Linked DNA regions of Danio rerio. The protein of the gene in region 2 purifies or fractionates together with the protein of the main gene of each other region. This does not show direct contact. Links are inferred from orthologs where the notes say so. Each region holds a gene or a part of one and is shown on either strand. Other genes may lie near its edges.

Region 1 (13,443 bases), on a different chromosome or scaffold from region 2:
TCATGGTAAAATAACACAGAAATCGAATAATAACACTTCAGTCTCCTGCCGAAGCTCAGATGCGCTGCTTTGAGAAACTGTCAATCACAGCTGTCAATCACGATGACACGCCCAGCATTAAATTAATGCTAAAAACAAATTTTTTACAAAAATGAAGATCTGCAGCTATTTCAGCACTATAACCAGTGCCTTAATCCACCAGAACCATCTTTCGGGACATTTTATTGCAAGTGTAAAACATTTTTTATTTGGGCTCAAGTCTCCTTCATTAACACGGAGGAGGCGGGCTTTATGACTTGTACTGCAGCCAGCCCCCAGGGGGCGATCTAACGGCCGAGACCTTCACTCAAACGCAGGCTTGCGGCACACTTGCTTTAAACCAGTTGAAAGCGAATGATCTGAATCAGGTGTAAGGAAGACATACAAAATGTACAGGCCCAAGGACCAGAATTAAAAACCACTGTTTTAAACTATCTTTAAACTAAAATGTTGCACATCTTGAGCAAGTCTGCTGTGAACGCAACAGTTCCTGTTGTTTAAAACATGTATCGTGATTCTTTTAACATCCCTGCCAATTTGAATCGTCACATCTTTGAAGCAAGTTAGTAACTATTTGATTTTGTGGCTAATTTTGTATTAGTTCGTACAATCTCATTTAGACATTTCACTATGATTTGCTGATCCTCCAATGAGGGGTAGGCTAGGGGATGGAGATTGGGTTAGCTAATAACAAAAATCAGGGTTAGGGGTAAGGCCTGTTGGCATGCCTCCTTTTAAAATTGTATGTTTTTATATAAATAAAATCATATGAATTTGTTACGAAATAGTCTTTTTTTTTCTGACAATTCATAAAAGAACTACATTTCCTCAAGATTGGGCTGGCTAAAAAACAAAAAATAAGGGATAGAGTTAAGAATGGGGTTTGTTGACATGCCTCTTTTTAAAAATTTGTACATTTTTATATGAATAGAATTGTATGAATTCATATGAAATAACACGTTTTCTCTAGGTACGTACATTTCCTTGAAATTGGGCTGGCTAAAAAAACAAAAAGGCCTTGCATCTCATTAAATCATGCTACTTGTTTTTCTGGTTCTCAACAGCAGCCAGTCCTGGATGTCCCATCAGCACGATCAGGGTTCAGTCGTATCCCGATGTCTCGGGGCATGAAAACCGGAAAAGCTGTGCTGGGAGCTTTGGGACTCACCACAGGAGCCAAATCAGAAACAAATGCGGAGGCCATTCACACTGACCTGAAAAAATCAGCTGTTAGTAATGGAGCCTTACAGGCCGGAGGGAAGGGCTGAGACGGAGAGTACCACACAAACAAGATCCACAGATGCATTTTACTCTACTGCCAAAGAAAATTCATGATTGTGAAATTATTATGTGTGGCAGAGATTTAAGGGAGGACTTTTTTTTTTACATAGGAGAGGAAACATGAGTTGGCGGTTCATTCCGCTGTGGCGACCCCAGATTAATAAAGGGACTAAGCCGACAAGAAAATGAATGAGTTTTTCTATAGATGCTTTACAGATTATCATTATACATTGATGTATGTGTTTGTATATATATGTATTTTCCATTTTTTTTCTCTCTCTCTCTTTTTCCCATATATGCTAGTGGGTGTTTGTGTATCTATGCCGAATTTATGATGATAGTAGACTTTGCTTAAATTATTTGAGTGCCATTTGAGATGTTTAAATGAGTCATGTGACCGTAGTACTCAAAGGAGACTCTAGACGCACCTGATCACTGTTGCCCTGATGAAGGCAGACTCCTGCCGAAACGCGTAGGTTTTTGGAGATTTAGCCATGTGAATAAAGGCTTTTTAATTTTTCACTAATTTCGAGTGCCTTGGACTGATTCTTGTTGCTGTTTTGATGAATCCCTTACCCAAAGAGCACCGACCATACATTTGAGCTTACCCCAGAGCGCTTTTTGTTTGTTTTTTCAGGAAAGGAAACATGTTGCCTTGGTCTATAGATAGTTATGACACACCAGAAATTAGCATAACTTGTTTTAGTTAAATAAATGTAATAGGATTTTTCTATTGGTTTTGTATTGCCAAAAATAGGCTCTTTGACTAGTTTAAGATTCATACGTTTTGTGTTTGTGTTTTACACAGTCTTCGTAAATTAATCATGAATTTTATATCTTAAAGGCACAGTTCACCCAAAAATAAAAATTCTGCCATTTGTTCAACACCTGCTTGAGTTTCTTACTTCTGTTGAACATAAAGGAAAATATACTGAAGAAAACAGCCTTTGACTTCTATTTCTTTTCCCAGCTTTCGTTAGAATATTTTATTTTGAGTTCAACAGTAGAAACAAACTCATAAATGTTTAGAACCACTTAAGTCTGAGTAAATGAGGAGGACATTTTTATTTCTGCATTTATAAACTGCATTTGAGGCTATAAAATTAAATTCAATTAAAAAACCCAACTGACTTCAAGAAAAAATGTTATGTTGTTTATGGGTTTTAGCCTACAAAAAATACATCATCCCTGTCACATGTGTAATAATTAATATAGTCATGATCTATTAACGCTGCCTTACACAAATCAGGATTTCAAGAGTTCACACTTAGCTGATGATTAATTATACAAGCTTGTTTGGCATGCTGTCCCGGGAGAGAGCCCTGAGCTCAGGAGATCCTCGAGCCCAGGGCTCCCTCCCGTTGCAAGGCGGGAGGGGAGTTTGAGCTCAGGTAGATCTCGAGAACTCCTCTGCTGTAGTAACCAATGAACAGTAAGTGATTGCTCTTGAAGATAACTCCGTACTAGAAGCATATCTATAGTGCCAATTTAGAGTATTCAATTAACTTAATTGCATGTTTTTAGGCGGTGGGAGGAAACCGGGGAACCCGGGGAAAACCCCCGTGAGCACGGGGAGAAGTGCAAACTCCACACAGAAATGTCTGCTGGTTTGGTAAAGCCTGGAACCAGAGACATTCTTGCTGTGAGGCGACAGTGCTACGCACTGGGCCGCCGTATCACCCGTCTAAGAAGGAGGAGTAGGGGAGGAAGGGGGGACTCTTCAAAACAAAGATAGCATTGGAATGAAACCCAGGGTATTTATAGTAGTTTAGGAGTCATCTGATTGGAGTGTAGTGAATTGGATAATGCAGATCCAGCTGCTAGCAATCATAAGCACGTGATCCTCTCGAAATTTGTTTATACATAAACTTCACTTATTAACAATAAACACCAAGTTGACAAGTTAGTAGGTTAAAGGATTAGATCACCCAAAAATGAAAAAAATATTATTTATTACTCTTACTGTATGAATATATGCCATAATATTTCTTTATACCGTAATACAAGTTTTATCAGGGTTTTTTAGACTCGTTGGAAGTTTCTCAAATAGTGTTTTTGATGCCACAGCTCATGTAATTGCAGAATAATCACATTTGTAGAGTTTAGGTGTGTACACAATCAACATTGATGAGGAAAGATGTCAACACAGAGCTCATCATGGGTGAGGTGAGCTCAACAGATGAGCGCTCTGATCTCTTCTGCTGTTATTATGTTTTGAAAAAATAAATTGTTTTTGGTAAAAGACTGTATATCATGTTTATTTTAGAAATGATACCTACTAAATGATGTATTTTAATACTTTTGTTTATGATTATATTTAACGAAGGAATGTACATGATTTCAGACCAAAGGTTTTCTGTTTGTGATACTTCTGTTGTGATTCTCTCCGATAAGTACAGTCTGTTTTTATTGTTGTTTCTAAGTAAAATGATTGAGAGGGTGCTCGCTGCAGAGCCATTTAAGGAGAGCTGAGCTCCAGCGAGGGGGAGCATGAGCTGTCGCTCCTCCTCCTGTAAGCTGTTTTAATGCGTACACCAACCCCACCCCTAACCCTACCCCCAGTGACATCACTCGTAGAAGAAGTGCAAAAAAGGTGGAGCTCAAGCTTAAGCTCCCCCTCGCTGGAGCTCAGCTCTCCTCAAATGGCTCTGCAGCGAGCACCACTTGAAATGATTTGCTTTTATGTGTCAAAAATATGTTTTTTTTGTCAATTTATTATGCAATTCAAATGATGTGTATACATACATTAAATTATTATTTCTTTTAACAGTATAAGTAGGGCAAGGGGTAGCGCTATCATCTCACAGCAAGAAGGTTGCCTGTTTAAGCCTCGACTGGGTCATCATGGGTCCATATGTGTGAATGAGAACGTATGGGTGTTTCTCAGTGATGGGTTGCACCTGGAAGGGCATCCGCTGCATAAAACATATGCTGGATAAGTTGGCGGTTCATTCCACTGTGGCAACCCGTGAGTAATTAAGCCAAAGACTAAGCCCAAAAGAAATTAATGAATTTATAATATATATATATATATATATATATATGTAATATTATATATATATATATATATATATATATATATATATATATATATATATATATATATATATATATATATATACAGTATATATATATATATATATATATATATATATATATATATATATATATATATATATATATATGTATATGTGTGTATGTGAGCAATATCACACGAGTAGCAGTGCGATATGGTTGTATATCAGCACTGGTGGGAGGTGTGCCTCAATGTCCCACCAGTAACGATATACAGCCATATCGCACTGCTACAAGTGTGATATTGTGTCCAACAGTTCAACGACATAACGACGTGTATATATAAAAAAAAAATCAAACGCAGAGAGTCTCAAAAGTGTGATATGTGATATAAAGTGAGTCTCAGAATGTGCATTAAATAACATTTTTCCACGCAGACATCCCAAGTCTCCCGGAAGTTCCAGGAGTCTCCCGCAAATGCACAGAGACTCCCGGATGCCTGCAAGCGAGTTATAATCTCTTGAAAATCGCGGGTCTCCCTCCCGGTCCTCAAATACGTTGCGCACCCTTCTTACTGCATCCCTCCTTGCTCTTCAGACACATCCTGTTAAACACCACCAACACCCGATCTTCAGATATTTTTACGTAGCATAACTCCCGCAAACTCCGACAAATCATCAGTCTTGCCCGGGAATGACTATTCTCAACTTTGGATGTCTGTCCATGCCATGTCTTAAAAATATGAACATTTTTTTTTACGCCAGATTATTCAAAGGAGCTTTTGTACTAGCCTGCTGATCCTGACAGCTTGTGCTGGTAAACGGTCTTTCATCTCATTTTATGCTTGACCGATTAAATGTCTGTTTAATTTAATAAGTCTGTTTAACTGACTATATTTTAAAAACATTAAAACATCGATGCTGTAAAAGAAAAAAAACATATAAAATTGTACAAGCCACATTAACTGTTCACCAGACGTTTAATAATATGGGAAGAAACGCTCGCTGCTGTGCATATACCCCATTGTTCACCTAAAGAATAACAATGTGCGCTAGCAAAATGAGCATTGTAAATTTTGATTTCACCTGGACTTTAAATAAAAATTACATTTTGTATTTTCTCCAGCAAGATACAAAGGATGAACTACCTATTTAGTTATTGAATGCATATTAAACACGTTTAAATTAAAATACTGCTCATCTCTGCATCACTGATTTTCTATTTCAGAAACAAACAGGAACATGCAAACAACAGCAATAATAATAATAAAGACACAAATGCATACCAAACATATTAAAATACCGGTAAAAGAGCATAGCATACTGTATTAAGAGATTATCAGGGGAATAAAAACAGTTGTTTTTATTCCTTAGTCGTCATGTGATGCCGTCACAGCGTCGCTGCAAGTCTATTGGCTGCAGCACTTCCTTGTTTATCGCCTTGTCCACATCCTACTAAGCGCTACGGAAATAATCTCCATCGTTTAATGGCGCGGTCATTGTACCATCAAAACCATCGATAGCGGCGATATAACACACGCTGTACCCAACCAAGGACATACATTTGAAGTTGTGCTCGTCTTTGAAGGATTAAAGCGCGATGATGGCGTCCAGCTATAACGCGAAGGAGGAGGACGGTCATCATCCGGGATTGGTGGGCTCCGGCGGCCCGGGCGCCGTCAAGAGCAAGAAGCCGGACAACACGGCCTTTAAACAGCAGCGTTTGCCCGCCTGGCAGCCCATCCTGACAGCAGGCACCGTCCTGCCTGCCTTCTTCATGATCGGACTCATCTTCATCCCCATCGGCATCGGACTCTTCGTCACCTCCAATAACATCAAAGAGTTTGAAGTGCGCAACTTCACCATAGTACCGTCAGGGCTGTGCAGTATGACAATATAAAATGTCTATCTATTCATATTCTATCGTTAAAATAGTTAGTTCACAGCAAAATTGACAAGCAAAAATCATTATTTACTCACCCGTTGCTTGTTTTTAACCTTTGTGAGTTTCCTTCAAATGTCGAACACAAAAGAAGATAGCTCGAAGAAAGCTAAAAACCTGTAACCATTATTAAGGATAGAAGTAAAGTTTCGGATTTTCAGACATTCCCCTTAATAATATCATTTCAGAAAAGTATTCATTGCAAATTTTAAATAGGGAAATCATATTAGCAGCAAATGACTTTCAAAGTACAACATTGTTCACAGTCAAATAAACAGTGTTAATGTTGTTTTCAAGTCACACTTGCATGCTAATTCAGATCGGATATTTAAAGTAACATAGTAAACAATATATAGACTGCTAAATGAACGAATGTGTGAATATAAAACCAACTTTACCTCTATTTATTAAGGTAAGGTCTTATATTCGCACATTCGTTCAGTGACAACTTGTGACTCGCTCCCTATATTGTTTACTATCATATTTTGTATACATTAAGGGAAATTTGGTTTTATATTTACGCATTGGGACTTATTATAATTTCAGAAAGAATTCTTTGCTCTAAATAAATAAATAGTGAAATCATGTTAGCAGCCAGTGACTATCAAAAGTACATCATTGTTAACAGTCAAATAAATAGTGCTAATATTGTCTTGATGCCGTACATGCATGCAATTTCAGATCAAATATTCAAAATACCATGGTAAAAAAAAATTAGAGAATATTACACAAGTCACTGAACGAGTGTGTGAATATACAACCAACTTTACCTTAATTTTTTTATATTTGATTTAAAATCACACGTAAGTATGAGTTTCAAATAACATTAGCACTATTTGTTTGACTGAACAATGATAGAAGTAAAGTTGGTTTTATATTCACACATTCTCATTAATAATAAAGTCTCAGAAAAGTATTAATTGGAAATTGTAAATAGCAAAATCATATTAGCAGCCAGCAACCATCAAAGTACAGCATTGTTCACAGTTGATTAAATAGTGCTAATGTTGTTTTGAAGTCATGTGATTTCAGTCCGGATATTCAAAGTACCATGGTAAACAATGTATGGAGCTGTCAATGAATGAATGTGTGAATATAAAACCAACTTTACCTTTATTGAACAATGTTGCAGTTTGATAGTCACTAGCTGCTACTGTGATTTTACTATATAGAATAAGCAAATATTTCTTTTTGAAATTATATTGTTAGGGAGAAAGTATGAATGTGTGATTATAAAACCAGCGTTACCTCAATGTAACCATTGTCTTCCATAGTAGGGAAAGTGATAATGTGTATGTCAATGGTTACAGGTTTTCTTTTGATTTGTGCTCAACAGAAGAAAGAAACTCAAAGTTTTAAACGTATATAGGGTGAGTAAATGATGACAAGAATTAGCATTTTTGGGTGAACTATACCCTTAATATTGTATTGTTACAAAATTTATTGTTTAATACTTTTCATAATTTTATATAAGCGTAATATTATACGCCATTATGAGGATAAAGACAGAAACATATTTACATTTTATTTAGCAATATTTTATGCTCAGCCTATAAATCATTAGTTTATGAATTTTTTTTCTAAATTTCATTAATATTTAATTATAATTAGAAACAAATACACTGAAGTTTTAATCTGATCACATATTAATGAGTAGATTTTTGAGTAAATACTTAGGAATTTACAGAAAATTATATATATATATATATATATATATATATATATATATATATATATATATATATATATATATATATATATATATATATAGGCAAGACAGTGGCGCAGTAGGTAGTGCTGTCGCCTCACAGCAAGAGTCGCTGGGTCGCTGGTTCGACAGTTGGCGTTTCTGTGTGGAGTTTGCATGTTCTCCCTGCCTTCGCGTGGGTTTCTTCCGGGTGCTCCATTTTCCCCCACAGTCCAAAGACATGTGTTACAGGTGAATTTGGTAGGCTAAATTGTCTGTAGTGTATGAGTGTGTGTGTGGATGTTTCCCAGGGATGGGTTGCGGCTGGAAGGGCATTCGCTGCGTAAAAACTTGCTGGATAAGTTTTCGGTTCATTCTGCTGTGGCAACCCTGGATTAATAAAGGGACTAAGCCGACAAGAAAATGAATGAATGAATTATATATATATATATATATATATATATATATATATATATATGTCATATTGCACAGCCCTACAACATAAAATAGTAGCATCGTGAATAGTAGTTTGATGTTATTGTGTAACTTGTGCTGTTGTTGTTTGTGTTGTAGATCGACTACACTGGTGTCGACATGTCCAGTCCGTGTTACAACTGTGCACAGAACTACAGCTGGAACAGCACTAGTGTGTGCACTTGCACTGTTCCCTTCACACTAGACCAGCCTTTCGAGGTAAACACACTTTACACTGCTAGACCTACATCATATTTGTGTGTTTCTGTGTTTTATTTTCTAGATCTGAAGTTTTTTTTGCTGCGATGTTGCGGAAATAGAAACTGTTTCTAAATTAGAAATTTCGCAGTCGCAGATGGTTAAAATAGAAACTCCTTTTAACTTGAAAGAGACATATTTTATTGCGTGTTAGGACACTGTGTTACACTTCAGAAAATGTTTTTCTTTTTAAAAATCAAAGATCTAAAATTTAAATAAAATATAATAATCTAGAAAGCATTTTCTAGACAAGTAAAAAATTATTTTTTTTTGTTTTTAAAGAAATAAGTCAAAATAAAGTTAGTTTTTCCTTAAAACAAGCTAAATAATCTGCCAATGCGTTAAGTTAAATAATCATGTTTTTTTGGTATGAAATAAGTTTATCTTACTTAATTTATATATATATATACATATATATATATATATATATATATATATATATATATATATATATATATATATATATATATATATATATATATATATATATATATATGGTTAAAAAAAGATCACTTTAGCAGGTTTAATCAAAAAGATACTTAATGCATTGCTTAATTATCTATACATTATCTATAAATCGAACAAATGTTTTAAACAAATTAATTAGCAAAAGAATAACTGCAGGATTACAATAGAATTTTATTAGTTATTAACTCCATTTAATAAAACGGTTACAACTTTTAAACCAGTGTACTATAGATTTTACTGCAGTAAACTGGTCTATTGTTGTTTATTACACCCTATGAAGTTGTAAAAATTGTACTACAATATTCATTTGTTTCTGTTATTAGTTGTTGTATTACCAGCAACTTACTACAACAAATGAATTCAACTACTTTACTATAGTATGATTCAAAAACACTATGTATTTTACCACAGAAATTGTTTTAATGTGAGTGACCTTTTATAAAGAAAACTGAGTAGCTAAATTATGAACTATATTCAGTTGTTGTCTACAAATTACATAAAAAAAAACAGATAACACATTTATGGAAATGTAATCTGACTACATTTGGATTACATTTAGATTACTTTTGTGCTTGCAGTTTGTTGAAAAATATGTTCATTTTGTCAGCAGCAAAAGCCTTAACAGATGAATACTTCACAATACTAACAATAATATACCTCTCTGTTTGTTTATGATTATAGTAACACAGGATAATACGAAGTCACATTTTCTGAGTTTGAAAGATTTACTTATATTAAAGCACATTTAGAAATCAACATCATTGTCACTGCTACATCAGTTATTTCATTAACAAAAACCTATAAATGCATATGAAGGTATCAATGAAAAGCATAGCAAGCGTGAACTAATTTAGAGATATATTTAACTCTAGCTCCATTATGTTGTATATTTGCTTTGTCTGCTAACCGTTGGATGGTCAAACAAATCACCTAAAGTGCCATTAGCTCTCATGTATTATGCATTAGTATATTTAGAGGACGTTTTATTGATCGCACCTTTTAATATGTTAAAAATAGAATTGTTTTCCGCTCTTGTTATAACAGAGATCAGTTCAGATGATCTATAAACAACACTGAAGTAGCCTCAGTATAAAAGATTTTATGGCTGGTGACTGGATGTTATTTTAACCTCTAACTTCTTTTTTTTTTGTAGAGTAATGTTTTCATGTATTACGGACTCTCCAACTTCTATCAAAACCACAGACGTTATGTCAAATCCAGAGATGACAGTCAGCTGAATGGAGACAAAAGCTCTTTACTGGTGAGTGTTTCGACATATGCTGACTAAATGTTTGACTTTGACTTTAGTATATTATATTTAATTTTGTTTTGTGTAAACTTATAGTTTAATATTGGTGCATTTTGTGAGATCTGATGGTATGGAAATGCTTGAGGCCCAAAAGAGAAGTGGTAACAACAGCCAGTAAGTTGTTGGGAACAAAACTAAAGAGTATACTGGTAGTGTATACAAAGAAAGAGCATTACAAAAGGCTATCATGATTGTCAATGAAAGCCTTATTATATATATATTATATATATATATTTGGTGACGCGACTGACGTGACATGCTTTTCCGCTCAGAGTTTACTTTTGTTTAATTGTCGTTTGCATATTGCAAATATGTGTAATTAGTGTAAACATGGCCCTAGCAAGCATACTTACTGAATTGTTGAATCGAGTTTGTACGTTGTCTTCAAGTGTTTAAATCTTTTGTTTTACAGAATCCGAGTAAAGAGTGTGAACCGTATCGAACAAGTGACAGGAAGCCCATTGCTCCTTGCGGCGCCATTGCTAACAGTCTCTTCAACGGTAAGACTGAAGGCTCATAATACTAATAACCCAGAGGAGTAGCGGACTGGCCCGCAGGGCACGCTCCGTGGGGGGGCCCCGCGTGATTAGGGGGCCCCACGTTGTCGCGAAAATCCGGCAACCTCAATAATCAAACTCTTGAAAACAACTGTGGTCGGAACCAATGTTCACAGGTCTGTGTTCTCTGAACTCCTCTCAACCGGTGGACTACTTCATTATGATTGCCGCCGAACCGAGTCAAGCTCGGTCATAGCTCATACCATAAAGTTGACTTGATTTCAACTCTCCTCGACACTCACACAGGTGAAGACGCGCCGCGATGTTTTTCACCGCCGTTTCTCATTGAAAATGAATCACTTCTGGCTACTTTGACGCTCTCGCCGTTTTCGGTTTGTGATCGCTCCTCAGTTTGTGAAGGCTTCCCTGTGTTGTCGCCCCCCCCCCTTTCCCGCTCTTTAGTTTGTGATCGCTTCTCAGTTTGTGATCGCTCCTCAGTTTGTGAAGGCTTCCCCGCGTTGTCGCTCCACCCCGCCTTCCTTCCCTGCTCCTCAATTTGTGATTACTTCCCCGCGTTGCCCCCCAACCAACACCTCTCCAACTGGGGGCCCCGTCAGTGATCCCTGCAGGGGGGCCTCCCCATTTTGCGCTACGCCACTGTAATAACCTTAATGATACTTAGTGCCTAATATGGCTTTGAATATTACAAAGGCATGTTGCTGTTTTAAATGCTTGATAATAATTTTCTTTCAATAGTTTAATTGTTCATTTAGACTATTTAAATAATATTTCCTCTGTGCTAAACCAATATTGTTATTTTAATAGTTGTTTATTCTTTGTGTGAATTAGATATGCACCAAAACCATTTTTTAAGATACTTTTTTTCTTTTACTCGCTGGTACTGATGCCTTTTTTGGGACGTGGCAGTTTTCGAAGTAATGACATTGTAAAACAAATTTTTTTTCTTTGTAATTACGAAAATCTGTAACTCCTTAACACAAGTTTTTTTTTATTTTTATTAATTATCATCCCACTTTATATTAAGTGTACTTAACTATTATGTACTTGCATCAAAAAACTAAATACAATGTACTTACTGGGTTTATAATGTATTTTGAGAACACTTGTGGTGCTTTTCAGTTGGGATAGAGGTTGGGTTATGGGCAGGTTTGGTGGTGTGGGTAGGTTTAAGGGTGGGTTAAGGTGTAAAGGATTGTCAACAGTGTATTAACAAATGTAATTACAAAAGTTAATTACAGATGTAATTACATACATGTATTTGATCAAACATGTACACAGTAAATACATGCATTTACACAATAAGTACATTGTAACAAACTATTAAATCCTGTGTAAGTACATATTAGTTAAGGCCACTATTAAAAAGAGACCTTAATTTTTATTAATTATTAATTAATTCATTCATTTTCCTTTCGGCTTAGTCCCTTTATTAATCAAGGGTCACCTTAATGAGGTGGACTCGGCTCAATTGAAACAAACCCTGGGTCAGATTGATTGTAGTGAGAAAGCAATACGACTCAATAAGCCAACGAACCAGGCTATATCACAGTGTATTATGCATATGTAAAAGCCATATATATGGCTACATGAAGGGAGAATTATGAGTAGGGTGGGATGTCATTCCTACCAATAACATGGTGTCATGTCGAATACGAAAGTGAAAGCATGCTGAAATATTACCGAGTGCTGTTTATTCGTTTGGAAAATTTACAGAATTAAAGAACCATCTGACATTTTTCCCATATTTTAGTCTCATAATATTTTGTATTAGGCCGATTGTTTTGTTCATTTCCAACATTTCTTACAGTGAAGGCTAACAATTGCACCTTCAACCGGCGGCAGTTACTTTTGCACTTATGTGTACTTTTGCATGCTGTTTAAATGAAGAATTAGCACAAGTTTATTGAGAATTTGAAGGTCGGTCATGCTGCTCATTGTAAAAGTATATAAATAAACCATTTAATGTCTGTCAGAAGCTCGGATCAGTAGACCCTATAAACAAAGCTAATGCTAACATGCTCTAGCGGCTTTCTATGAGCCTCAAAATAAATATTCACTGCTTACTCAGGCCTTAAGTCTGTTTGTTTGCTCTGTGTGATTCCTTTATGTTTGTAGATACACTGGAGCTGTTTTATATCCATCCAAACGGAAGCAAAATCGGCATTCATCTGGTGAAGACAGGCATTGCGTGGTGGACTGACAAACACGTCAAGTTCAGAAACCCAGGAGGAAGCAACAACAACCTCTCCGTTGTTTTCCAAGGTACAACTCAGAAGTCTACTCGATCATTCGGATGTGTTTAGCAGGGCCTTTCAGCTCATGTTTCACATTTCTTTTTGATTAGATTTTTTTCAGATTTCAAGTAAAGATGTTTTATTTTTATGATTTATTTAAAATTTTAGTAGGTTTTCTATTTATTTTTTTTATATGAATACTTTCCGGATGCACTGTAC
Region 2 (12,702 bases):
TACACAAGTATGTATGTATGTATGTAAGAGTGTGTGTTCATCCTACCCGAGTTTGATCGTACGATTACACTCATTCTCCTCCTCACCGAATCAAAGTTTAACACATCCAGCAGCTCAAATCTGTGAACACATAAACACAAAGGCAAATATTTTGTATTTAAAAGGTTAAGTGACAACTGACTATGTCCACATTTATGCTCGCATAAATCAGAGGAATGCATGGCGTTTGCTGGGTGTTTTGGGATGCATCTTTATCACAGACGGACAGACTTTTTATGGGACTGCGCTCTGTGCTGACCCTCATGTTCTCAGCTGTAGGACAGTGTGTAGCTGCACTAATTATGGCTGGTCCTTGTCCTTCAAGGGCATGAACACACACACATACACACATAGACAAACGCACACACACCAGTCCCCTCACTGCCTGAACAGGGGAAACTTCACTACCTAAAAGTGTTATCTTAAAAAACACACAGTTGCATTAATATGCCAACCTAATTTGTAAATACGCAAATGATTAGAGATTAACTGAGCAAACTGTTCTCTTACTGAGCTTTCTTTCCTTTTTAAAATGCTAGAATTAAATTAAAGTGAGTTAAAGTGCTCGAAATCTGGTATGAAATTAAAAGCCTATTTGGAAATCATTTAGCCCTAAAATTATTCATACCCCGGGCATATTCTGATGTGAAGTTACTTTTATTCAACCAGAAAGTTTTATTTAATGAAATTGACTTCCAAAAGATAATAAGATGATGTGCAAGAGGCATCATTGTGAGGAAAAATGTCCTTCTCAGCTTTTATTTACATTTAATAAAAAAAGAGGCAAAATTATTCATACCCTTTGCAAACTGTCACAGTCAATAGGAAAATCCAAAATTCTATACCCTTCCAGAAAGTCCAATAGTTCTAAAGCATCCTAATTACCCTGCCATGAACACCAGCGATCTAGCCCTTATAGACATCTACTATATGATCCGGACTACAATTCTGCCCCTGAACTGCACTACATCTCCCATGTGGCACCTCACACACACACCAGTTCCAGATCACCCATAATTACACACACAAAACCTCATGATGGACTAATCAGATGGACCACATAAACAGCGCACACACACACAAACACACACACACACACACACACACACACACACACACACACACACACACACAAATACAGACACACAAATACATACACACACACACAACACACACACAAACACAACTACACACACACACAAATACATACACACACACACACACACACACACACACACACACACACACACTTTGCTGACTCTTGTTACCCTATAACCCCTGTATCCCCTGTTTATTTATAAACTAATTTCGAGAGGATCACATGCTTATGATTGTCCACAGCTGGTCCCGCATTAACTTATGATTAATTCACTAATCATATAATTTCTAATTCGCTATAAATAAGCAGTTTCTTATCTCAGTATCTTCATCTCGATGAATCTCTCCTCCCACCTAGTAATTAGATGGGCGACACGGTGGCCCAGTGATTAGCACTGTTGCCTCACAGCAAGAATGTCTCTGGTTAAAGTCCCTACTAAGCCAGTCGACATTTCTGTGCAGAGTTCGCTCCCCATGCTTGCGTGGGTTTTCCCCAGGTTTCTCCAAAAAACACACAATCTAAGTAAATAGAACAGACCAAATTGACATCAAAGTCAAGCTCTTAGTATGCCGTATATCTCTCCTTAGCAATCCCTATATCTGTCGATAGCCAGAAATAAGTCAGGGGAGTTCATCAAGATCTACCTGAGCTCAAACTCCCCTCTTGCCCTGCTAACGGGAGGGAGCCCAGGACTCAAGGATCTTATTGTCATGATAACCAGCGATCTAACCACCAGAGGTCGCTGGTAAACATTCACACACATAAGACTACAAGTCTGCTTGCAAATGGACTACATATTCAGTCATGCCACACACACACACACCTGCTCTAAATCTCTACTGATTACAATCGCACAGCTGAAGCTGCTCAAGGACTGATTCTCCGACTCTGGATTGCCCTCATACATCTGTTTGCCCCCATATTGACCCCTGCTTGCCTGACCATTCTAATAAACCTGCATGTGGATCCTCACCTCTGTTGTCAGTGTCACATCCCTTGGTTTCACTTATAAGCTCAGGGCTCTCTGCCGGGACAGCATGCCAAACAAGCTAATTACTAATCATAAGCTAGGTCTTAACTCTTGAAGCATTTTTTTCTTTTTTGTAGGTAAAAATATACATCACATAAAAACGTATATTTAACCTATTAATGCATGTAAGTTTTTTTTTTGGATAGTGTAAAGTAAGATTTTTGGACAGACTGATGGACTTGCAAATGCTGCTACAGTTTCCTGTTGGTCATTGAGCTCATGCTGTTGTCCAGATGGCTCACCTCTCCATCTCATCCTCTCTGTTAAGGATCTCCATGTGACTGTCCTTCAGACGGAGGTAGGTGAAGCCCAATCTGAGCAGGTGAGAGAAAGAAAAACAAGTTTCTTTATGATTGTTGCTGAGCATTATTTATTCTAGATTTGTATGATTGTGTTATAAATGGCTCAAAAAGCTATACAGTATATACTACAGTGTGTATAGTATATTGTAGGAGACCTCAAAAACGTGTAGGAACCATAAAAATAGCACACTTAAAGGGATAATATGAGTTTTATGATCAGAGTATTGATTTACACGTAATATATAAATAAATAAAGATTATTCATACGCATTAAATAAGTGATTTATTGTTAAAACTGCATACTGGTAGGGTTATGTTATAGTATCTATAATAGCTATATGTAAAACATGATAAATGTGTGTGTGAATAGGTGTGAGGGTATGAAACAATGGTTTATGATTTATTGACAATAGTTTATTTAGATCAGAGTAATAATTTACACGACGCGTTCTGACTGTTTTGGCAGGAAAATGAAATATAAAATTGCTCTGTCATCCAAAGTGAGACTCTGTATCTCAAACCTTGAAGGACAGTGTCTAAAGTGCAATATGGTGGCCCTGTTTTGTGTCTGTGTGTGTAATATATATGCATTCATCTTGCCTTTTCATGCCCTCCACCAGCGCAACCTCGTCTGGGGAAGAGGAGATATAGAAAGATGTGGCTTTGCCCTGATGTATTCCTCTCTTAATGCCGTCGACCGTCTCCTCTTCCTTTACCTGGACAGTGTGGCACAGGCACAGCGCACGAAAAAACAGCTCCTCTCGCTCCTGTACAGGCAAAACGCATGCAGTTGTGAGGAACGACTCCTGCAGATCTTTTTCAACAAAAATACATCAAGACATTAAAGGGATAGTTGACCCAGAAATCAAAATCTTTTGACCCTCAATCATCCATGATGTATTGTAGCTGACATTTTGTTAAGGAAGATATTTAGCTGAAACAATGGTCATCAGTGATTCATGAAATGTAAATCGATGACTCCCATCACTTTGAGTAAAAAACAGGAAGGTGGTGTTCTCAAGACTGTCATGACACCTTTATAATCATGACATAGCAGGTCACGAATATGAAGGAGATTGTATGCATGTTTATGACACCTTTATGAAGTGCAGTTTAGACATTTTTTAAATGCAAAGATGACATTGTTTGAGATGTTTTTGTTATAACAACTTGACATACAGTTAAAGTCAGAATTTCTAGCCCCTCGATAAAATCTTTGAAAATAAAAGTGAGTCGACTAAGTGGACAAGAATTATTTGTCTGTTTCCTCTCACACCAGCAGAAAGGAAGATAGATAGACTAACAAAGCCAGATTAAGTGACAAAGACGAAGAGATAACAGGAGACAGAAAGGCTATCAGTGTCTGAACAACATGCAGTCAATACCCATTTATCCTGTAAATATTTGGATGCATCTGATACATTACAAATCTAAACAACAACCAACTCTGAAGTTTAATTGTATTATGAACACACTTCAGCCTAATGATCTCATTAGAATGGACAAACTGAGCCGATCTAATTTCCTGACTGATATTCAAAGAGATCACATTTAAAACTGCAACTGTCGAGATGTGAGACGAGTTAACAAATTCTTTCACAGATGTTTTAGTTAATCTTCAGAATTAATGTGTCACGTCGTCACAAAGCTGATTTATCAAAGATAAAATTAAAATCCATCCATCACGCCATCCATCCATGGCTAAAATATTCATGCTAAAACTTGCCGTCGATAATATCAGACAATTTCTGTGCATTGAAACATAACTAGTCACCGATAACCACACATTCTCATCTCTTACTTTGATGAATATAATATTATTATTGTGGGAGAAAATGCATTTGGTCAAACTGATTCATTAAATTGAATAATGACAGGAAAACTTAAGGTAAACTTTACCTAGGGACTAGATGGTAAAAAATTTGGGGAAAAAAAAATTACATGACAATTGTTTTCATATTTTAATTATGTTTTTAATTTTACAGTAAATACTTTTTTGGACTTTTTTGGATTAAATAAAAAATATGAAAATTAAATAAAATAAATAAATACAAAATTAAATAAAAAAAATTAATTAGCTAAGATTTAAAACCAAATTAAATTAATGCAAAAAAAGAAATAAAATTAAATAAAATTTAAATTTAAAATTAAAAATGCTAAATTAAATTAAGTTAAATTAAAGCCCAAAAATATAAAATTAAATTAAATTAAATTAATAAAGGAACTAAGCCAACAAGAAAATGAATGAATGAATGAACAACTTAAATAAAATAAAATAAAATAAAATAAAATAAAATAAAATAAAATAAAATAAAATAAAATAAAATAAAATAAAATAAAATAAAATTAAATTAAATTAAATTAAATTAAATTAAATTAAATTAAATACACAAAATTAAATTAAATAATAACAATATTTTTTTATCTAATTAAAGCAAAAAACAAAATTAAATTGAATTTAATTTTAAAAATATATAAACTAAACTAAACTAAGCTATGCTAAGCTAAGCTAAGCTAAACTAAACTCAATAGTATCTGGATGCAGCCTTTATGATGCAAGCTGAGACTGCATCACTCAGCGATGCAATGTCAGACACAATGCACTCAAATGGAGCTAGTGACGTCACAGTGACGGGTAGGGTTAGGGGTGGGGTTAGGTGAGCCCATTAAAAAGCATTGGATGCAGCCCAGATTGCACTGCACCAGGTCTGCAGCCAGACCCCTCTCACTAAACTAAATCAGCTATAATCAAAACAAGAAGCTCACCTTTCCCTCTACACCTGGAGAGGAGTCAATCATATCCATTCCAGCAGCTCCAGGTAAGATCTGCCCATTACAGATGGCATGTGGCACATAGACATGTCCATCCACGCAACACTCCCTCAGCTCCATGTTATTTTCTGTCAAAGTGCCTGTCTTATCAGTGAACACATATTCCACCTGTAAAAAAAACAAGTGCCATCCACTGTAAAAAATGCAGGGTTCCACGCAATTCATTGATGTTGACTGGACCTTGACCCAACACAAATTGATTAAGTTAATTTAGGACTCTTAACAAAATTTTTTGGATTGAACATTAAAAAAATTAAGTTGTCCCATGAAATCTAAAGAATTGTGTTGTTTTAGCTCATTTGAATTAAGTTGTTTGAACGAACAAAAACAAATATTTTTTTGAGTATAGTAAACAAACAGTGACCCAAACAGCAGTTTAAAAGTGGGCTAAAATTGTCTGCTACCTGTCCAAGCTCCTCATTGAGGTCCGAGGTATTGACCAGCGGCCTTTCTCCAACCTCCTCATCAAACATGTCGTCGTCCCACAGGATAAAGTAGGAGCCCAGGAACTTCTGCATCTCCACCGTCACGTACATAGACACAGGAATGATGTAGTTAAACAGAACCATGAAGGCCAGGAAGTCTGTGAAAGCCCGGATTAACTGAGGACACAAAACAACATGGGATGTTTGGGTTGTCGCATTTTCGACACAATGTATATATATTTTTTTAGTTAATACATTTTTTTTTGTATTTACCAAATCTGTTTGTTTATTTATTTATTTATTTATTTATTTATTTATTTATCCTATAATAATAATAATAATAAAAATTATTATTATTATTATTATAACTAAGGTTATTAGTTACCACAACTTTATTAGTTACTAATAACTTTAACCAACTAATTAGTAACTAATAGCTTTCAACAGTTAAAGTTATTATAAACATAGTTAACCTGCAATTATATAGCATATACAGTAGGTGATGTCCATGTGTATGTATAAATTAAGTGTATTTGTGTATTAAGTGTATGTGTTGTCCTTGATAATAATAATAATAATAATAATAATAATAATAATAATAATAAAAAGAAGAAAAAAGACATTGTTTATAGCACATACTACATGTCGTTGCCTCTCAGACTCAGTCCTCTGGTTGTACCAGGGCTCATCTCTGTTCGGGTCGGCCTGCCAGACATACTTCAGGACAGTATTGATCAGAGCTTTACTGATCAGAATGCAGAGGTACACAATCAGATAGGCGTTCATAGACCTGCAATGCAAACAACAAGCAGATGAGAAACACCCAAAATCATGCTTAATGTTTTCTGGACATGTATCCTAAACCAGTGTGACTTGGCCAGAGGGAATGTAAAGTCAACATCCAAATACTATCTCAAATATTTAAATTAAATGGGAATTTCAAGCAAAAATGGCAATTTACTTCATGCTTATTCAGCCTCAGATTATTAAAACTTATTGTGAGCTTTTATCTGTAGAACACAAAAGAAGATATTTCGTAGAATGTTAAAAGGTGGCTATTGACATCCATAGTAGGGACAAATACTTTGGAAGTCAGTCTAAAACTATACAACATTCTTCAAAAGCATTCTCTTTTGTGTTTAATTGTAAAAAGAAACTCAAAAAATGTAAAATCGATGACTATTGTTTGTTATTTTTAGGCGAACTACCCGTTTAAAGGGCTAAAAAAGGAAATCAACATTTATTTGATTTAAAAAGTCAATGACATCTGAAACTCTGAAAATAGATCTCTGAAAGTACACTTGTTTATTTAATAAATAGAGATCTGATGTATTTGCCTAATGGCTGCATTTATCCGTCTGTCGCAGAAACACATGTGAGCGCAACTTGATACCATTTGTGACATCAAATACAGAGGCCCACAATTTGCTTTACAAACAGGACACTAAATGCATTACGCTGTACATGCTGACAGCAAGATAAACTGATCGAACGTCTATCATCGTGTCTTACTTTTCAACAGCGGAGCGTTTCTGAGACTTGGACTGGTAGTTAAGGGCCATCTTGGTTTCCATGCCCGTGTAAATGGCCACAGCTAGAAAAACAAGAAACCACAGAGTTAGTTATGATTAAAGAAACCATTATATGCACTGTAATAAATGCTGGGTTCCACACAATCCCTTCATGTTGTCTCAACACAAATCGATTAATTTAACTTAATGGTTTAAACAAATTTATGTTAATTGAGCTGTTTTTTTTTCAGCTCATTTAAATTTTTTAAACAAGCAGCTAAATTATTTTTAGGTGTACAGTTTCCTCTGCTAATGTTGGCACCCTTTGTTAATATGAGGAAAGAAAACTGTGAAAAAATGTCTTTAATATTTAACTTTTTGATCTTTGACCCACCGGCCACTTTATTAGGTACACCTGTCCAACTGCTCGTTAACGCAAATTTTTAATCAGACAATCACATTGCTAAACTTAATGCGTTTAGATATGAGACACGGTCAAGATGATCTGCTGCAAGTCAAACCGAGCATCAGAATGGGGAAGAAAGGCGATTTAAGTGACTTTGTACGTGGCATGGTTGTTAGTGCCAGACGGGCTGGTCTGAGTATTTCAGAAACTGCTGATCTACTGGGATTTTGATATCTAAATGTTTGTGTCGTGTCACGTCATGTGCGGAGAGTCAAATTGCTTGTCTCGGGAATCTTGTTGTGACATGTGTTGTAAAAACTGCACAATGTTTCCAGAAGTGTGGATTGTTGATAAGAAAGTGTCTGGTGCACGCGGAGAGGAGAGAGTGTGTCCTATGGGTGGTTTGTCAAGCTCATTAACCTGCATGAAGCACACTCAGAATTGGACAATGTTTTCAGAGAAATATGGATTGTTTATAAGAAAAGATTCTGTAATTTAAAAGTTTCTGGTGTAAATAAATAAAAATAGAGTCTGTTGTTAGCAAGTACTGATGAAACAGACCCGTTTTTAGACATTTCTTGAAAACGCCAACCAGATTTTCCCAAGTATGACATGTTCATGGATTAACATCCATGCTGAACCTGGAACAGCATTCCAATCAGCCGATCAGATTTAAGGGATACGTTTACCGTTTATGTTCAGTTTAAACTTACCATTAGGTTTATGAACTACATCCATATCTACGTGATTGTTATCCAACTATTATTCTGATTTTGGGAATAATCTACTGTTATGGTTGGGTTTAGGGGAAGGGAATAGGTATGTATTACATATTCCAACAAAAATTATGTTCCAGGATCAACACAGATGTTAATACAGGATCACATTGTGCTTGGCAAAATCATGACGTGCTCTTGAAAATGATCATAGACTGATCATGTAGTTTGGCAAGTCATTCCAGCAGGACGCAACATTAAAGGTTAATCTTTCTTGCGATTGATTTAATGCCCCCTTGGGATGGTACCACAAAGTGACGCATTCAGTAGCAAAGCACAGGCACAAAAGCCTACTTTCATACAGCTATATTCTCATTTTGTCAACAAACAACCTTTTGTCACAAATCACTGCTCTGACTTTGCTCTTCTCCACTGTGATGAATGACTGAGTGAGTTTTTGGACTGTGCATTTCTTCATATTTATAGCCCTGTGAAACAGGAGGTCATGGTTGAACAACCTTCTGTTCCTAGTCACTGTGGTGTGCTAAAATATATATAAAATATCAATAGGAACGTACTTCAAAAATATTTCACTCATATGTATTCATAAATAGCACATACAGGTAAAGTCAAAATGATTTGCCCTCCAGAGAATTATTTCACAAATGATGTTTAACAGAGCAGGGCATTTTTCACAGTATTTCCTATAATATTTTTTCTTCTGGAGAAAGTTTTACTTGTTTTATTTCGGCTAGAATAAAAGCAGTTTTCATTTTTTCTTTTAAACCATTTTAAGGTTAATCAGCCTTGGGAAGGGCGCCCAGGTATATTAACAGCCGCCCAAGTATATTTGGTGACATTTATTTTTTTTTATTATTATCACTTTTTTTTTTGGATCCGCCTGCACGTTTCCTACTTCTCGTTGTGTGTGCGGGAGAACTGTAAACACTCCTCCGGACTATTTCACGTGCTTTGCAGAGACCCACAGAGATGTGCCTTTTTGGGACTTAAAATCATCAATCCAGGGTTTCTAAATCTCAGAAAATGTCCAGGATTTGGCTTTTGGTTTCACTTTATAAAGTCATCCTTAATTGTATGCATTTTCTCATGACTTTTTTATTTTAAGCCTGATTTACTTTAGCTTGGCTTCACAGCTGACAGCACTTGCACAGCTGCAAGACCGAGAGAAACATTAAATAATCAATTCTTTGATCTAAACGACTCAGATAAACTTTTCTTTTTAGTCAGAGAGGATAAAATGACATCTAAACTGGCTGCAAAATATACAGTTCAAGTCAGAATTATTAGCCCCCCTTTGGTTTTTATATATATATATATATATATATATATATATATATATATATATATATATATATATATATATATATATATATATATATATATATATATATATATATATATATATATATATATATATATATATATATATATATATATATATATCCCAAATGATGTTTAACAGATAAAGGAAATTTTCACAGTATGTCTGATAATATTTTTTCTTCTGAAAAAAGACTTATTTGTTTTATTTTGGCTAGAAAAACAGCAGTTTTAAATTTTAAATAAATCTTAAAGTACAAATTAGCCCCTTTAAGCTGTATAGAAGAGTTTTAAAAATATCTAGTCAAATATTATTTACTATCATCATGGCAAAGATAAAATAAATCTGAAATTATTAGAAATGAGTTATTAAAACTATTATGTTTAGAAATGTGTTGAAAAAATCTTTCCATCAAACAAAAATTGTGGGGGAATTCGGTCTTCAGCTGTATACAAAGACAATTGTATCTTGACAAAAAACTCTTGTGTTTGCAATTGCTTGTTCTCAGTGAGACATTTTGTGGTTAAACAATAACGACATTTTTCACAAGCTTCTTTGCTTCTATTTACCACAGCTCTTTTTATTCTGTAGCGGATCATAGCAGCTCAGCTGAAACAGTTCAACATTTTTTTCAGCTTGCCCCGGTCTTGAATCCTCACGTGTATAATGTGACATTCATCTCTCTTTCTCTCTCTCTTTCTCTCTCTCTTTCTTTCTCTCTCTCCAGCAATTACGAACTTCTCTCTGATCTCACAAGCCTGAGTGACTCATTTAATTACAGTGGGAACAGAGTGACAGAACGACTCCATCAGCAACTCTCTTCTCTTATTCTCTTGCCTCTACCTTGTAGGCTGTATCAGGTTATTATAGTGATGGATCTTGGCGTCATCAGTAAGTTTAGGTTTCCAAAGCGATACAAAAACTGATTAAATATATGCCTTGAACTGGATTGTGCGTTGTTCAGTGTATACAACACAATCTCACGGCAATTCGTAACTTTTTGATTTAGTGGCTAATTCGTATGAATTAGTACAATCTAATTCGTACAGTTTAGTACGATTTGCTCATCACCCAATGATGGTTGGCGTTAGGGGTGGGGTTAGGTGCCACGCCTTTTTCCTTTTTAAAATCGTACATTTTCGTATGACTGCACTCATACAAATTAGCCACTAAACTGACAAAACGTAAAATACTTACGTTTCCTCGTGAGATCATGCTGGTATTTATACAATATACATTATATATCATGTATACACATACAAAATGTTTTTTCTTACCATGTATGTATTCTGTGTTTTTCAGTGTGGCTCCACGTAGCAGCAGATTCTCAGAACCCAGAGGTCTGAGAAAATCAAACAATATCAAATTCAGAATTACACATATAATAACTTTCTTTTTTTGGTGCTGAAAATTTATACTTAAAGACTACCTTAAATTAAAAGAAAGGTAAATAGGTAAAAATCGTAACATGTAAAATAAAAAACCATTGCTAAAAAAAACAATGAAAATATACAATTTTGTGCTATATAGAACATACACTCACCGGCCACTTTATTAGGTACAACTGTCCAACTGCTCGTTAATGCAAATTTCTAATCAGCCAAACACATGGCAGCAACTCAATGCATTTAGACATGCAGACATAGTCAAGATGATCTGCTGCAGCTTAAATCAAGCATTAAAATGTGGAAGAAAGGTGATTAAGGTGACTTTGAATGTGCATGGTTGTTGGTGCCAGATGTGCTGCTGTGAGTATTTCAGAAACCGCTGATCTACTGGGATTTTCACACACAACTATCTCTAGGGTTTACAGAAAATGGTCCAAAAAGAGAAAATATCCAATGAGTGTCAGTTCTGTGGATGCAAATGCCTTGTTGATGCTAGAAGTCAAATGAGAATGACCAGACTGGTTTGAGCTGATAGAAAGGCAACTGCTTGATGCTATCATGTCAATATGGACCAAAATCTCTGAGGAATATTTCTAATACCTTGTTAAATCTGTGCCACGAAGGATTAAGACAGTTCTGAATGCAAAAGGGGGCCCAACCACCTATTAGTGAGGTGTACCTAATAAAGTGGCCGGTGAGTGTATATATTATAAAAATACTGTATTTATTTATTAGTTTTAAATACGGTATATACTGTATGTTTATACATTTGCATAACTTACATATCTGCACCAAAAAATGTTTTAATTAAAGAATGAAATGTTGGAAGCATTGCTTTAGCAAGAATACGAATTGGAAGACAGACCTGTTCTATGAAAATGATAAATTGTGCCTCTTGAATTCAATCTTTCACACACTGGCCCTTTAATTAAGAGTCAATTTCCTGAATATAGATTTACCTCGCGATGGGCTCGTCTCGATCCAAATAAATATTGATGCGTCCCACAAATCTACAGCGGGAGAGGAAGAAAAGACAGAAATGAATGTCTGGTCTGGGCTCTGTGTCAATATGTGTGTGTGTGTGTGTGTGTGTGTGTGTGTGTGTGTGTGTGTGTGTGTGTGTGTGTGTGTGTGTGTGTGTGTGTGTGTGTGTGTGTGTGTGTGTGTAGTTAACACACTCTGGAGTGCGTTTCATGCTGTTTTGACGGTCCAGCAGTAATTCTATACACACTGTGAATTTGTAAGCAAAATCTGCGGGTTTGTTTTTGTGTTTGCTGCTGATATAGAAGCCTATTTCTCACTTGTACAGGTCTGGCTGGGGTTGTTCGCATTCTATGGTGGCGTGCAGCGTGTCCACCTCCTCTGCTGTGCTGAAGGCTTTTGTGTCCTGAACTGCATAATAGGTCTTTGTGTAAAGAGGAGAGCAAGAGAGAAACAAGTTAGCATTCCAAGGTCAAAAACTCTCACACAAATTTCTGCTATTAACTATTAAGAGTGTGTGTGTGTGTGTGTGTGCAAGTGTAAACAAATATACAGAGCAGATCAGAAATGGAGAAAATCTTGAAAAACACTTGATTTTTATTCATAAATGATACATTTTTCATTATTCAGA

What was found.
Region 1: the proteins of atp11a (region 2) and tmem30aa purify together in Homo sapiens (co-immunoprecipitation; 4 studies listed by BioGRID and IntAct, with this or other methods). This does not show direct contact. The link is inferred for Danio rerio from reciprocal best matches to the Homo sapiens genes ATP11A and TMEM30A.

What each region holds. Positions count from the first base shown.
Region 1 is NC_133192.1:56,062,267-56,075,709, reverse strand, and holds the start of tmem30aa (transmembrane protein 30Aa), read left to right. Parts: upstream 1-5,748; 5' UTR 5,749-5,934; coding exon 5,935-6,183; intron 6,184-8,536; coding exon 8,537-8,656; intron 8,657-10,316; coding exon 10,317-10,424; intron 10,425-10,884; coding exon 10,885-10,972; exon of another isoform or gene 10,973-11,275; intron 11,276-11,467; exon of another isoform or gene 11,468-13,105; coding exon 13,106-13,252; intron 13,253-13,443. Other genes in the region: filip1a (filamin A interacting protein 1a), read left to right, coding at 1,104-1,307. UniProt on the Homo sapiens protein: Accessory component of a P4-ATPase flippase complex which catalyzes the hydrolysis of ATP coupled to the transport of aminophospholipids from the outer to the inner leaflet of various membranes and ensures the maintenance of asymmetric distribution of phospholipids.
Region 2 is NC_133176.1:49,629,569-49,642,270, forward strand, and holds part of atp11a (phospholipid-transporting ATPase IH), read right to left. Parts: intron 12,496-12,702; coding exon 12,392-12,495; intron 12,101-12,391; coding exon 12,050-12,100; intron 11,045-12,049; coding exon 10,980-11,044; intron 7,322-10,979; coding exon 7,240-7,321; intron 6,518-7,239; coding exon 6,367-6,517; intron 5,905-6,366; coding exon 5,707-5,904; intron 5,411-5,706; coding exon 5,237-5,410; intron 3,238-5,236; coding exon 3,071-3,237; intron 2,483-3,070; coding exon 2,411-2,482; intron 121-2,410; coding exon 47-120; intron 1-46. UniProt on the Homo sapiens protein: Catalytic component of a P4-ATPase flippase complex which catalyzes the hydrolysis of ATP coupled to the transport of aminophospholipids, phosphatidylserines (PS) and phosphatidylethanolamines (PE), from the outer to the inner leaflet of the plasma membrane.